2 linked regions of the Arabidopsis thaliana genome follow. The protein of the gene in region 2 interacts with the protein of the main gene of each other region in a pairwise test. Each region holds a gene or a part of one and is shown on either strand. Other genes may lie near its edges.

The links.
Region 1: the proteins of RTV1 (region 2) and ITN1 interact in a two-hybrid assay, tested with the Arabidopsis thaliana proteins (one study listed by BioGRID).

The regions. Positions count from the first base shown.
Region 1 is NC_003074.8:3,932,204-3,937,565, reverse strand, and holds ITN1 (Ankyrin repeat family protein), read right to left. Parts: upstream 3,567-5,362; 5' UTR 3,421-3,566; coding exon 3,396-3,420; intron 3,069-3,395; exon of another isoform or gene 2,976-3,068; coding exon 2,469-2,975; intron 2,387-2,468; coding exon 1,977-2,386; intron 1,902-1,976; coding exon 1,071-1,901; 3' UTR 808-1,070; downstream 1-807. Other genes in the region: AT3G12370 (Ribosomal protein L10 family protein), read left to right, coding at 1-102; AT3G12350 (F-box family protein), read right to left, coding at 4,462-4,899, 5,110-5,362. UniProt on the Arabidopsis thaliana protein: Involved in salt stress tolerance. May act through abscisic acid (ABA) signaling pathways and promote reactive oxygen species (ROS) production.
Region 2 is NC_003070.9:18,313,356-18,318,744, forward strand, and holds RTV1 (uncharacterized protein), read right to left. Parts: upstream 3,507-5,389; 5' UTR 2,954-3,506; exon of another isoform or gene 2,679-2,953; intron 2,296-2,678; exon of another isoform or gene 2,268-2,295; 5' UTR 2,106-2,267; coding exon 1,874-2,105; intron 1,789-1,873; coding exon 1,589-1,788; intron 1,490-1,588; coding exon 1,241-1,489; 3' UTR 762-1,240; downstream 1-761. Other genes in the region: AT1G49475 (AP2/B3-like transcriptional factor family protein), read left to right, coding at 1-295, 389-393; AT1G49490 (Leucine-rich repeat (LRR) family protein), read right to left, coding at 4,208-5,389.

The sequences.
Region 1 (5,362 bases), on a different chromosome or scaffold from region 2:
TATGGTATGATGCTTGGTTCTTTGCATTGGCCGGCGTTAGATCTCGTCAATGCGTTGCAGGCCCCACCGGCGGCGTCGGAAAATGAGACAGTTGTTGCATAGAAGGAAGGAATTTTCCAATTTCTTGCTCTAAAAACGCTTCAATTTATGTCTCCTTTTGTGTTTGTGCTTCCGGATTAAACATATAGTGTCCTATCAAAAATAATTTGTTGGAATTCTCTTAGAAATTGCTATTATGGATTTACTCTTTGATTTTGAGCTTCGATTTCGGAACCAGTGTTACTGGATTTTGTTGTAGTGTATTGAGCTTGGCTTATCTTCTTCTGTTGTTTGCTAGAAGAGAATTGGTGAATTAGTAATACTTGTTGTGGACTTGCAATCCTCTTTGACACCTTAATGACTGTTACTGCATCATCCAACAAGTTTCAGGTAAGAAATTCTAAATCCAAATGTGTTGTTCTATGATGTATTTGGACTACACTCTTGCCTGAAACAGTTGGCTACCAATTTTGGTTTTGTACATCACAATCTTAACATCTACAGTTGCTGGTGTAAGGAGTTTACTTCCATGGCTTATACTTAGTATTGATATCCCTTTTGAACCCAAAAATAGCAAGCCTCACTTTATTCTTGTGGTTTTTGGATCGTATGGGAGAGAAATCGAACGCTGTTATCTACTCTTCTCAGTGACTATTCACCTCTCTCAATCTAAGTTAAATACTATCATGGTTGCGTCTGGTGTTTCCTTAGATTTCCACAACTCCAAAATCTTGGTTCAGAATCAGTATACAGCCCAAGAGATTATTTGTGCTTGGAAGAACCTCAGAGCTGTGCAACTGAAGTGATTGAACATGAATACTACAAATGATTTCCTAACAAAGGAACCTTTGCTTTTCTTTGCTTTCCGAAGAAGACAATTGTTAACTGTTTTACAGATGAGTTGAGCAGTGTAAACCTTTAATGGTTGACAATAGTGTTTGCCTTTTGATGGTCAGGGGGCTTTATACACTAAATAGTCTAGCTCTCTTCACCAAATACAACAATATATATACACGATTCTTTTACGCATCTTAGATTGCGAAAATAGGATCAACTTCCGAGTTAGAGAAATCTGAATGATGCCACGAGTTGGAACCACTCCTGCGAGCACTCTTCACCTTCTTCCTCATCGACCTTGTCCTCTTCGATTTTACCACGTAATAAGTCATGGTTCCAAGAACACCAGCCATTATCACACCCCCAACCACGGTCACCAGCTCAGCCGCCCACTCGTTCTTACGCCCAACCACTATGTATGAAGATGCCAAAAATGCCACAGATGTACACATCGATGCCAACCACATGAGTTTGTTGATCACTTCCACTACCCTCTTCTCAGCTTTTGTCTCTCCTCTCACCAATGTGATCTGGACAACCACAACCGCCAGAGACGTAAACAACGCGAGTGCGTTGAAGATGAAGAAGATCTTGAATGATGCTCGGCCCACCACCACTGCAGACCCGTCATTGTTGTCTCCTCCCGGCACTGTGAATATAGCAGCAAAAGCTACAGTTGCAAACAATACAGCCACAACAGTTACAGAATTGGTTGCATTGTTGATCCCTTCTCTGTGGAGTTTCCTGAGTTCTTTTGAAATGTTGTGCACGTTTTTGTTCGTCCTTTTCGTCTGTTCCAGCTGGATGTGTACATCGTTCTTGATTTGGGTGACAGTGCTTCTCAGCTCGTCCCTTGGCTGGTTCAGCTCATTCGCCCTAAGAGCCCCGCTACGAGCAAGACACTCTTTTATGTATGAAGATTCTTCTGAGAGGGGAAGTCCTTCTGCTATGTCAAGCGCTGTCTTGTGATCGCGGGTTAAAGTATTGGCGTTGGTATCAGGCAGTGACAACAATAGTTCTACAATCTGCAAGTATATGCCAAAATGTGAAGACCCAATCAAAAATCTCAAAATGAACCACACTATCAGGGTGATGCATACCTCTGCTCGTTTTTTCCTGGTGGCAACATGTAACGCTGTGTTACAAGACTTGTCCGGTTGCATAACAATAGCAGGATCTGCATCAAGAAGCAATTTCACTACTTCAGAACTCTGGCCTTTAACAGCCATGTGAAGTGCAGTTTGTCCTTTCTTGTCAATCCGTCTCGCTAGCTGAGGATCCTTGGAGAGAAGAGCTTTTATGACCTCCACATGTCCTTGCCTTGCAGCTAGATGCAAGGCATTTTTATTGTTAGACCGAGAAATTTCTAGCAAATTCCCAGCTTTGGATAAGAGCTGGTTCACAACTTCTGTATGGCCTCTCATAGCTGCAGACACAAGCGGAGTTGCATTCGATGGGCCAAATGTCTGGCTAAGCGTCGCATCATGATCTAGCAAGACCTCAACAATAGCTGCCAGAAAGAAAAAAACATTCTTATTCACATACTGTAGTTCATTTGATCAAAAGCCTATCGACGAGTTAAGGAGCATTACCATGATGACCCTGTATGGCAGCAATATGAAGTGGATCATATCCAGAACGATTCTTCTTAGCAATACTCTCTCTACTCGAATACTTCAACAGCTCTTTGACAACATCAAGATGTCCTTTATCCGCAGCAGTGAAGAGCGCCGTCTCCCCTAACTCATTCACCTCATTCACAATCGATGCTCGAATCTCCGCAACTTCAGCATCAAACTCTTCCCCACTCAGAATCCCTTCCATCTGAGAGTTAATATCCTTGAGAATCTGCTGCACAGCAGCCAAATCACCTCGTTGGGCCGCTAAGTGAAGCTCGGTGTCGTTGTGGCGACCCGTGACTTGCTTAACATACTTTTTCTTGCCAGCTTGATCCATTCTCTTGCCTGAATTAGACAAAACCAAAGCTGGGGCAGTAGCAGTTGCAGATGGTGAAGGTGTTGGTGAAGGATCTATCATAGGATTTTGATTCTCACTTGACTGTAGTAATATCATTCCTCCTTTCTCCATATCTCTTTCTCCTGAAAAATTTCAGCAGAGAACAAAAACCTCAGGATTCAACTACCACACAGATCTAGAATATAAACAAACACACATCTCTATCTGAATTTTGGGAGACTCCAAACATGAATTCAATTATTCCTTCAATCAAGTTTATATCAATTTGGATATAATTATAATAATACAAAATTCATGTGAAACATATGGGTGGTTCGGTATTTCACAGACAAGACGAGGGACCATGAAGATCACATGTCTGAAGATTCTCTCCGACAATCATGCAAAACAATTAATCAGCTAAGAGAATATTTTATATATTTCTGCCTAACGAAAACTAACCAAAATCGGATCAAAAGTTTATAGATCGTATGGAACAAGACTAAAAAAGTTGAGAGATGTGTACAAGTACAAGTAAAGTAAAATTAGAATGATTGGGTTACCGTCTACATAGGATGAAGCAGCCATGAGTGTAGAAGCTCGAAGCTGTTAGAGAGAGAAAGGTGTTGCTGGATTGTGTATTTGAGATGTAATTTGGGAAAGAGAAATGGGAAAGTGAGAAGAAGAAGGTTAGATATAGAGAAAAAGGAGACTCTTCTCTTCGTGTGGTCAATGGCATGACTAAAATATTTGTACTCCTTTTCTTACTTTTTTGTTTTCTTTTATTTACAAAACCAACCTCCAACTTTATCTATATTACTGAATCGACTCTCTTTACTTTGGAGACAAAAATTGGCCCTTTGGAAGGTAGAGACTCTAACACCATAGCTTTTGTGGGCAACAACGGGTTATGTTTACTTGTGTCCTCAACATCAAAAGATCTGTCAACAGTTTAGTCAAGTTCTGAATCCAGTGATGATGCTTAGCAGGTAGTAGGTTTACCTCTGGAATCTGAGAACAACGAAATGTTTATACAAAAAGGTGTCGATGAATGCACCATGAGTGTCACTCTCGTTGCAGTTTGCAAACGGAAAGAGGGATCGTAAAACAGAGGCAGTGAAAGCCAACAAAGACAGTGGACAATCTCATGAAGTTCAACCATGATGCTCATATTCTAGATATAGTCTATACTATGAACAAAAACAGGGCAAAGCTTGGCCATGTACTATATTCTCAAACTGGCCACCACCAAACAGCACAATGCATTAGCCTCACTGCTTGAAATTCATCTCCGGGAGCAGCTTCATAGCTACACGGGAAATGCTGCTGGAAAAGCTTTGCTGTACAAACCGCATCATTAACATTATACTGGCAAAGTGGCAAGTGTATGCAAGTTTATTATTCTTTTTCAACAATTGATACATGAACCTCTACAAATCTCTTATTTAGAACCATATCTACATAAACAAGTAAAAATACAAGGTGATATTCCATCATCCTAGTTTACGTCCACTAAAATGAGACTAAACTTGAAAGTTCAAACTTCTAAAGTCACCAAACTCTTTTATGTACAGAAAGAGGTGATCATCTATCACCATCAGAATTTAAAAATCACAACCAAAGAGCAAATCACATACAAGCTTCTACCTCGTCAGCTAGACACCCATCTTCCAGAGCAACACGTTTCAGATCAATGATAAATTGATCTCGAAGAAACCCGAAACCGAAAGTCCCATTGTCATACAACCAGACCCGCCCTTCACCTCTAAGAAAACCAATGCCATTGCCAGGTTCTCCTGGCAACACCAGATCGCAGCTAGACTTCATGTACAACATTCCAGATACAACATTTTCATGAACTTCAGCGAAAGGGCTAATATGGATTCGACTATTCAGTAGCAGCTCTTCTTCAGCTGAAAAAGGAGATCTGATGAACGTATGTTTGGGTGTCCAGAACACAGGAGGAGTGTACCGTGAGAGGGACAAGTCCTCTACTTTTCTGCATATAATGCCTCCAACTTCATCATATTTGACCAAATACAACTCGATGCTTCCCTCACAGAAACCCTGCCGAGTTCAAGAATCATGGAGATAAACTACTTAACAACACAACCATCATCATTACAACGAAGATAACTAATGAAAGATTGGTCTATTCAATCAACTAGACTTAGAAAAAAACCAAATTTTGCATTCCCTTTACCTTAAAGACAAAGGCTTTTCTCAATCTCAAACATTATCAATGAAAACAATATGATAAGGAGTTATAATTGAGACCTTCCATAAGCCTTGTAAGGGTCTAGTAGGCGTGGGGGAGCAATCAGCAACTTTGAGAAAGTGTTCTGGTTCCCACTTAGTCCTCGACGCTTGCCTCTCCTTCTCCTTCCTCTTCTGTCTCCTCCTGTCACCGCCTGGACTCGTCTTATTCGCCAATTGAGTGTACATTTCCGAAAAATTGGGCGATGAGATCAAATCATCACTCTCATCCCCTGAGCTCCTCTGGTCTTCTCTACGATTGTTGTTGGTAAAA
Region 2 (5,389 bases):
TGGAGTGAGTTTGCAGAGGCTCACTCTTTAAGTGATGGTCACTTTCTGTTTTTTCATTACGAAGGGGATTCTTGTTTCCGTGTTGTGATCTTTGATGTGTCTGCTTCTGAGATTGAATATCCATTGGATGATACTGATGATAATAGAGAAGAAGTTATGGATGATGATGAACAAGGGTTTACTGGTTTTGAAAGTAGTGATGATGATGGTGAAGTTGTTGATATGGATGAATTGTTGAAGAAGAAGAAGAAGAAACCAAGAGTCAACATTAAGTCTGAGAATGTCATAATACTTGGTAAAATGTTTATAAGACATTTCTTAAGAAGGATTTGTGGGTTTTGTTTGTATCTTTTATGTGATTTCTTGTTCTTCTTCTTCTTTGTTGTAGACTAGTAGATGATGTTGAAGAGATTGCTATGAGGAGTCTTGAGGAAGAGGACTTGAAGAAGAACTTATGCAAGTATGTTTCTCCGACAAAGATCTCTGCGGTTCCTAGCTCGTTAAACCACATAATAGTTCTTCGGTTTTTTGTTTCTGGTTTCTAGCTCGTTAAACAGATTTGCAAGCTTTAATTTTTAGTAAGAACTTGGCATTTTTAAGACCCGTTGTGTAATATGTGTAGTGGAAATTCTTGTCAAGCCTGGCAAGAACTTTGTAGTAAGAACTTGGCTAACTTGTGAGATCCTGTTATCAGTTTGTGTGATGTAATGTGTATGTCGAAAAAAAAGCTTGCCCTGTCTGAAATATAGCAAAAGCAATTCCTCATTCAAAAAAGAGAAATCCAAGCTTTGATTGGTAAACCTTAGAACGGTGAAATGATTCTGCAAGTTTTACACAATAATATTTTTTTCCCCCTTTGTCGTGATATTTTCACCATCTTACACCTCACAGTTAAACCAACTAGAACAAGCTTTGCCAACTACATTTATGGATTCACCCACACAAACCCATAATAATCAACAATTCAAATAAACATAATTATCCTGATGAAGATAAAAGTATATACAACTCTACTTTTGAACCTAGCTACCACTCAAACAAAGAGTTTCCCACTCAGAGGTTATTATAATCGTCAAATACTTATCCACATCCAAACATAGGAACCTGAAATTTCACTCAAAACACTACTAGAACAGAGACAACCAATGCAAGAGAGAGAATGGTTAAGAGACCCCTACATAAAATTTTAACTTTGGAAAGCTACCTGCAAGATCGCTGATGAAAGGGAAATCTTTTTTGGTCACACATACTCATTGACACGAAAGGCGGTGACTTCGAGAACGAAATCCCGAGTTCTGAGTAGCTCAAACACACATACATCTCCTTCGCCTATATTGTTCTCGAGTGTGAACTCATACCATCCTTGGCTAAACTTAGCTCTCCCTGCTTTGTAGAGGCACCTCACTGGCCATTGTTTCTCACCGAGCTGGAGCTTGATGAAACCAGATATCCCACTTAGGTATTTCTCAGCAAACCCAGATGGCAAGTACTGTTGAACAAACAAAAAACAGAAACGAAGAAGTCAGCAAGAACAGGTCATGTTAACCCTAATCTTGAACCTTAATTACAATCTTTAAAAATTGTTTACCATGATGCAACCTCTGTATAGATATGATGGTCGCAGAACAACTCTAAAGTAAGGATTTGTTGGTTCGAATGTTTTGGCTGCATTGACGGCTCTCTCTCTTTCCTCTGCAGTTACAGTTCTCTTTCTAGCAGAAGCACTCTCGTAGAACTTTGAGCGGTTCTCTGAGTCATCTCCACCGGGAGTTGAAGAGTTTACTTCCTCTGCACATACCAAAACAATAAATCTTTTGACTCTCCTCTGAAACAAAAGTTAATACGTAATTAAGAGTCTGTCTCTGATACTTACCGGGATTAGGATTCTTCTTCTTCCTTCCTCTCTTCTTAAGTACCTTGGGCGTTTCTTCAGCTTTAGATTCTTTGAAAAAGCTTTGGATGGCTGTAGAACCGCCATAACCTTTATTCACTGGTTCAGTAGATTCAGGGTTCGATGGATAAATGACCTTAGCATCTTTGAGTTCAGGATCTTCAAACAATCGAGCACGTTTGTTGAACTGATTCTGTGCGGAATCCATTTGCATAAGAGCTTCACTACTAGAATGGTGGTTGATCTCAGAGTGTGGAGGATAAATTGAAAATGTAGACTGTAACTTTGTATCTGAAACCAATCCGAATGGAGAAACGGTTGACAAACTCCTGCCAACCGTCTTGAAACCAGATTTTGTTGTTGGCTTTCCTTAGTCCTACATGCAAACATGACCATCAGGTATTGTAAGTGCAAAAACAACTGAAAGCTCAGAACCAAGTAATGACCAAATGACTTCACTTTGATCAACACATACTATTATTTGGAATCAACAAACATTCATAAAACACAGTGGCTGGAGAAAAGAGAGTTTTGCTGGTTAAATCATAATCCCAAGTCAAGTTATTAGTCAAACAGCTTAAAGCAAAAACTCTCTTTTTATTTCTTATAATCAAAACAACGCATGCTTCTAGATCTATAAAGTCCACTCATAGTCTTTAAACTGAGACCAAAGTCAAATCTACAGTCGGAAGCTGATAATTCTCAATAAATCTGACAAAAGACACAACCTGAGCAGTATTCTGATGTCAAATTGAATCAAAGACATTTCAAAATTTCACTGACTCACCTCTCATTTCACCACAAAAATCAAGACTAGATTCAGATTTCAACCAACCCTAACAAAGAAACAGAGTTCCGATCCCAAGTTCCATTCGAATAATTTACCAAAAAAAAAAGACACTTTATCACTTCATCTCACTCAATTTTCAGTACCCAAAAAACAAAATCACATCTTTGGCAGTTCTAGACTCAAACCCAACACCAGTTTCCTCAATTTTGTCAGAAACCAAATACAGAACCAAAAAGAACGAAACACAATTTGAGAGAGAAGAGATCAATTACCAGACGCTTGTGTTGAAGAAAGGAAGAGAGAATAAACATGTGGAAGAAAGAGCGTGGCATATTCAGATAAATCAACAGTAAAAAGAGATAAAAGGAGGGACCAGAATTATTAAGCCAAGGAAGATGGGTCAGAGATCATTTAAACGACGCCGGAGAATCCGAAGCAAAACCCTTTTACTTCAGATCTGAAACCAGTTTTAAGTTTTTGCTTTTGGTCAAATGGCTCGACCACACACACTCTCTCTCTGGTTTAAGCCTGACCCAACATAAATATTTTTAAGAAAGAAAAAAAAAAACCAACTTGACCTTGAAAAAAAAAAGCTTGAGCGTGTCAATGTGTGTTTCTCCTTGACTCGTAATGGAACCGGTGAGTTGACTCGTTTCGTGTTTTTGTTTTTTGGTTAGCTAATTAAAAACTTATCGTCCCCACCATCTTCCCCTTTTCCACCTAATTTTTATCTCCTTTTTTCGCAATATAATTAATATTTTTGTCCTCTTTAAAGGATATAATAATTTATTTATTTCCCTTTCTTGCTTTTTTTTTAAAGTTAACGGATTATAATCTTTATGCTATCAAAAAAAAAAACTAGATTATAATTCAGCAAGAATTATTATTTAGTACAAATTTTAGATATTATATAATTTTAATAAAATTCTAATTTTATTATATAAAGTAAAAAAATTTAAAATTGTTAACACATGTTAAGTACATTAATGAGATATCAATATATGTTAAATCTAATTTTGTTAATATATTTTTTAATAGAAGATAAAAATTTCATAATTCTATCCGAATAAAGAACAAGTTCAATCATCTGGTGGAACATGAAACCCTAATTCAATTATTTCATACATAATTTTATTTATCATGACTTATGAAAAATGTCAAATAATTCATGACATAGTTATGAAAGATTAAATGTGTATAATATTAAACTATATGTAGCTAGTAAGATATTAAATTTTACAAATATAGATATTTATGTTTTGCTTCTCAAATAATAGAATAGAAGTCATAAAATGGCCAAAACAAATGATAACTTCTTTACCCCGAAAAAACAAATCGCATCGTGTTATAGTTCAATACTTCAATTTCAACAAAAAAAAATCTGCTGAAAGATAATCTACTATATAATTATTGGCATTTTAATTTTTCATCTTTGTAATATCTTTTTCGTTTGATACAAATAATTCACATGGAAAAAATGGACAGAAATGTTAAAAATGGGTAACACTGTCACTACTACATTGGTTTTAATATCCTTGGAACATTGGTGGTGGTGGCGATGCATATTGGAATCCAATGTGTGGTGGTAGGACGAAATCCCCATCATCATCATCGTCGTTGTTTTCCGGTGGTGGAATAGATGTGTCAGTGGAAGGAGAAGATGATGGTACTGATGATGGATTGACGGGTGTTGGTTCTGGTGCTTCAACTTCTTCTGATTGTTCTGGTGATGAGACCGGTTCGCTTGATGGTGTTGGTGATTGGACCGGTTTAGAGTTTGGTGTTGGGGCATGAACCGGTTCAAGAATTGGTGTTGGAGCTTGACTTGGTGACTGGTTTGATTCTGATGATGGAGTTGGTACTTGAGATGTTTCAGAGGATGTGGTTGGGGCTTGAACCGGTGTTGGAGCTTGAACTGGTGACAAATTTGGTGCTTGATATGATTCTGATGATGATGGAGTTGGCACTTGGGTTGGTTCAGAGGATGGGGTTGAGGATTGAACCGGTGTTGGAGCTTGAACTGGTGACAAAATTTGTGATTGATCTGATTCTGATGATGGAGTTGGCACTTGGGTTGTTTCAGAGGATGGTGTTGGTGCTTGAGTCGGTGTTGGAGCTCCCATTGGTGGTTGGTTTGTATTATGTGTTGGTGGTGGTGAGAAAGTTGGTGGAGGCGGAGAATATACTGGTGGTGGTGGTGAGTGGCTTGGAGGCGGTGGTGAGTATACTGGTGATGGTGGTGGTGGAGAGAAAACTGGTGGTGGTGGAGAGAAAACCGGTGGTGGTGGAGGAGAGTGAACTGGTGGTGGTGGTGATGGCGGTGGAGGAGAAGCAACTGGTGGAGGTGGAGAGTAGACATGTGGTGGTGGTGGTGATGAATAAACCGGAGGCGGCGGTGAGTGAACCGGTGGTGGTGGTGAGTAAATCGGTGATGGTGGTGATGGGGAAGGCATTGGTGGTTGTGGTGGTGGTACACGTGTATCCTCTACCTTGGGTGGTGGCGGAGAACGACGATTTTTAACCGGAGATGCATCATATGGATCATCCGGTGTTGGTCCTTGTGCTTCATTTGGTGGTGAAACCGGTTTAGTAGGCTCAGGTATCTGTGGTTGTTCAGGCTTAGGTGACTCCTCTGGTTTTGGTTGTTCTGGTTTAGGAGAATCTTCAGGTTTAGACGGTTGTGGTTTAGGAGACTCCTTTTGTTTTGG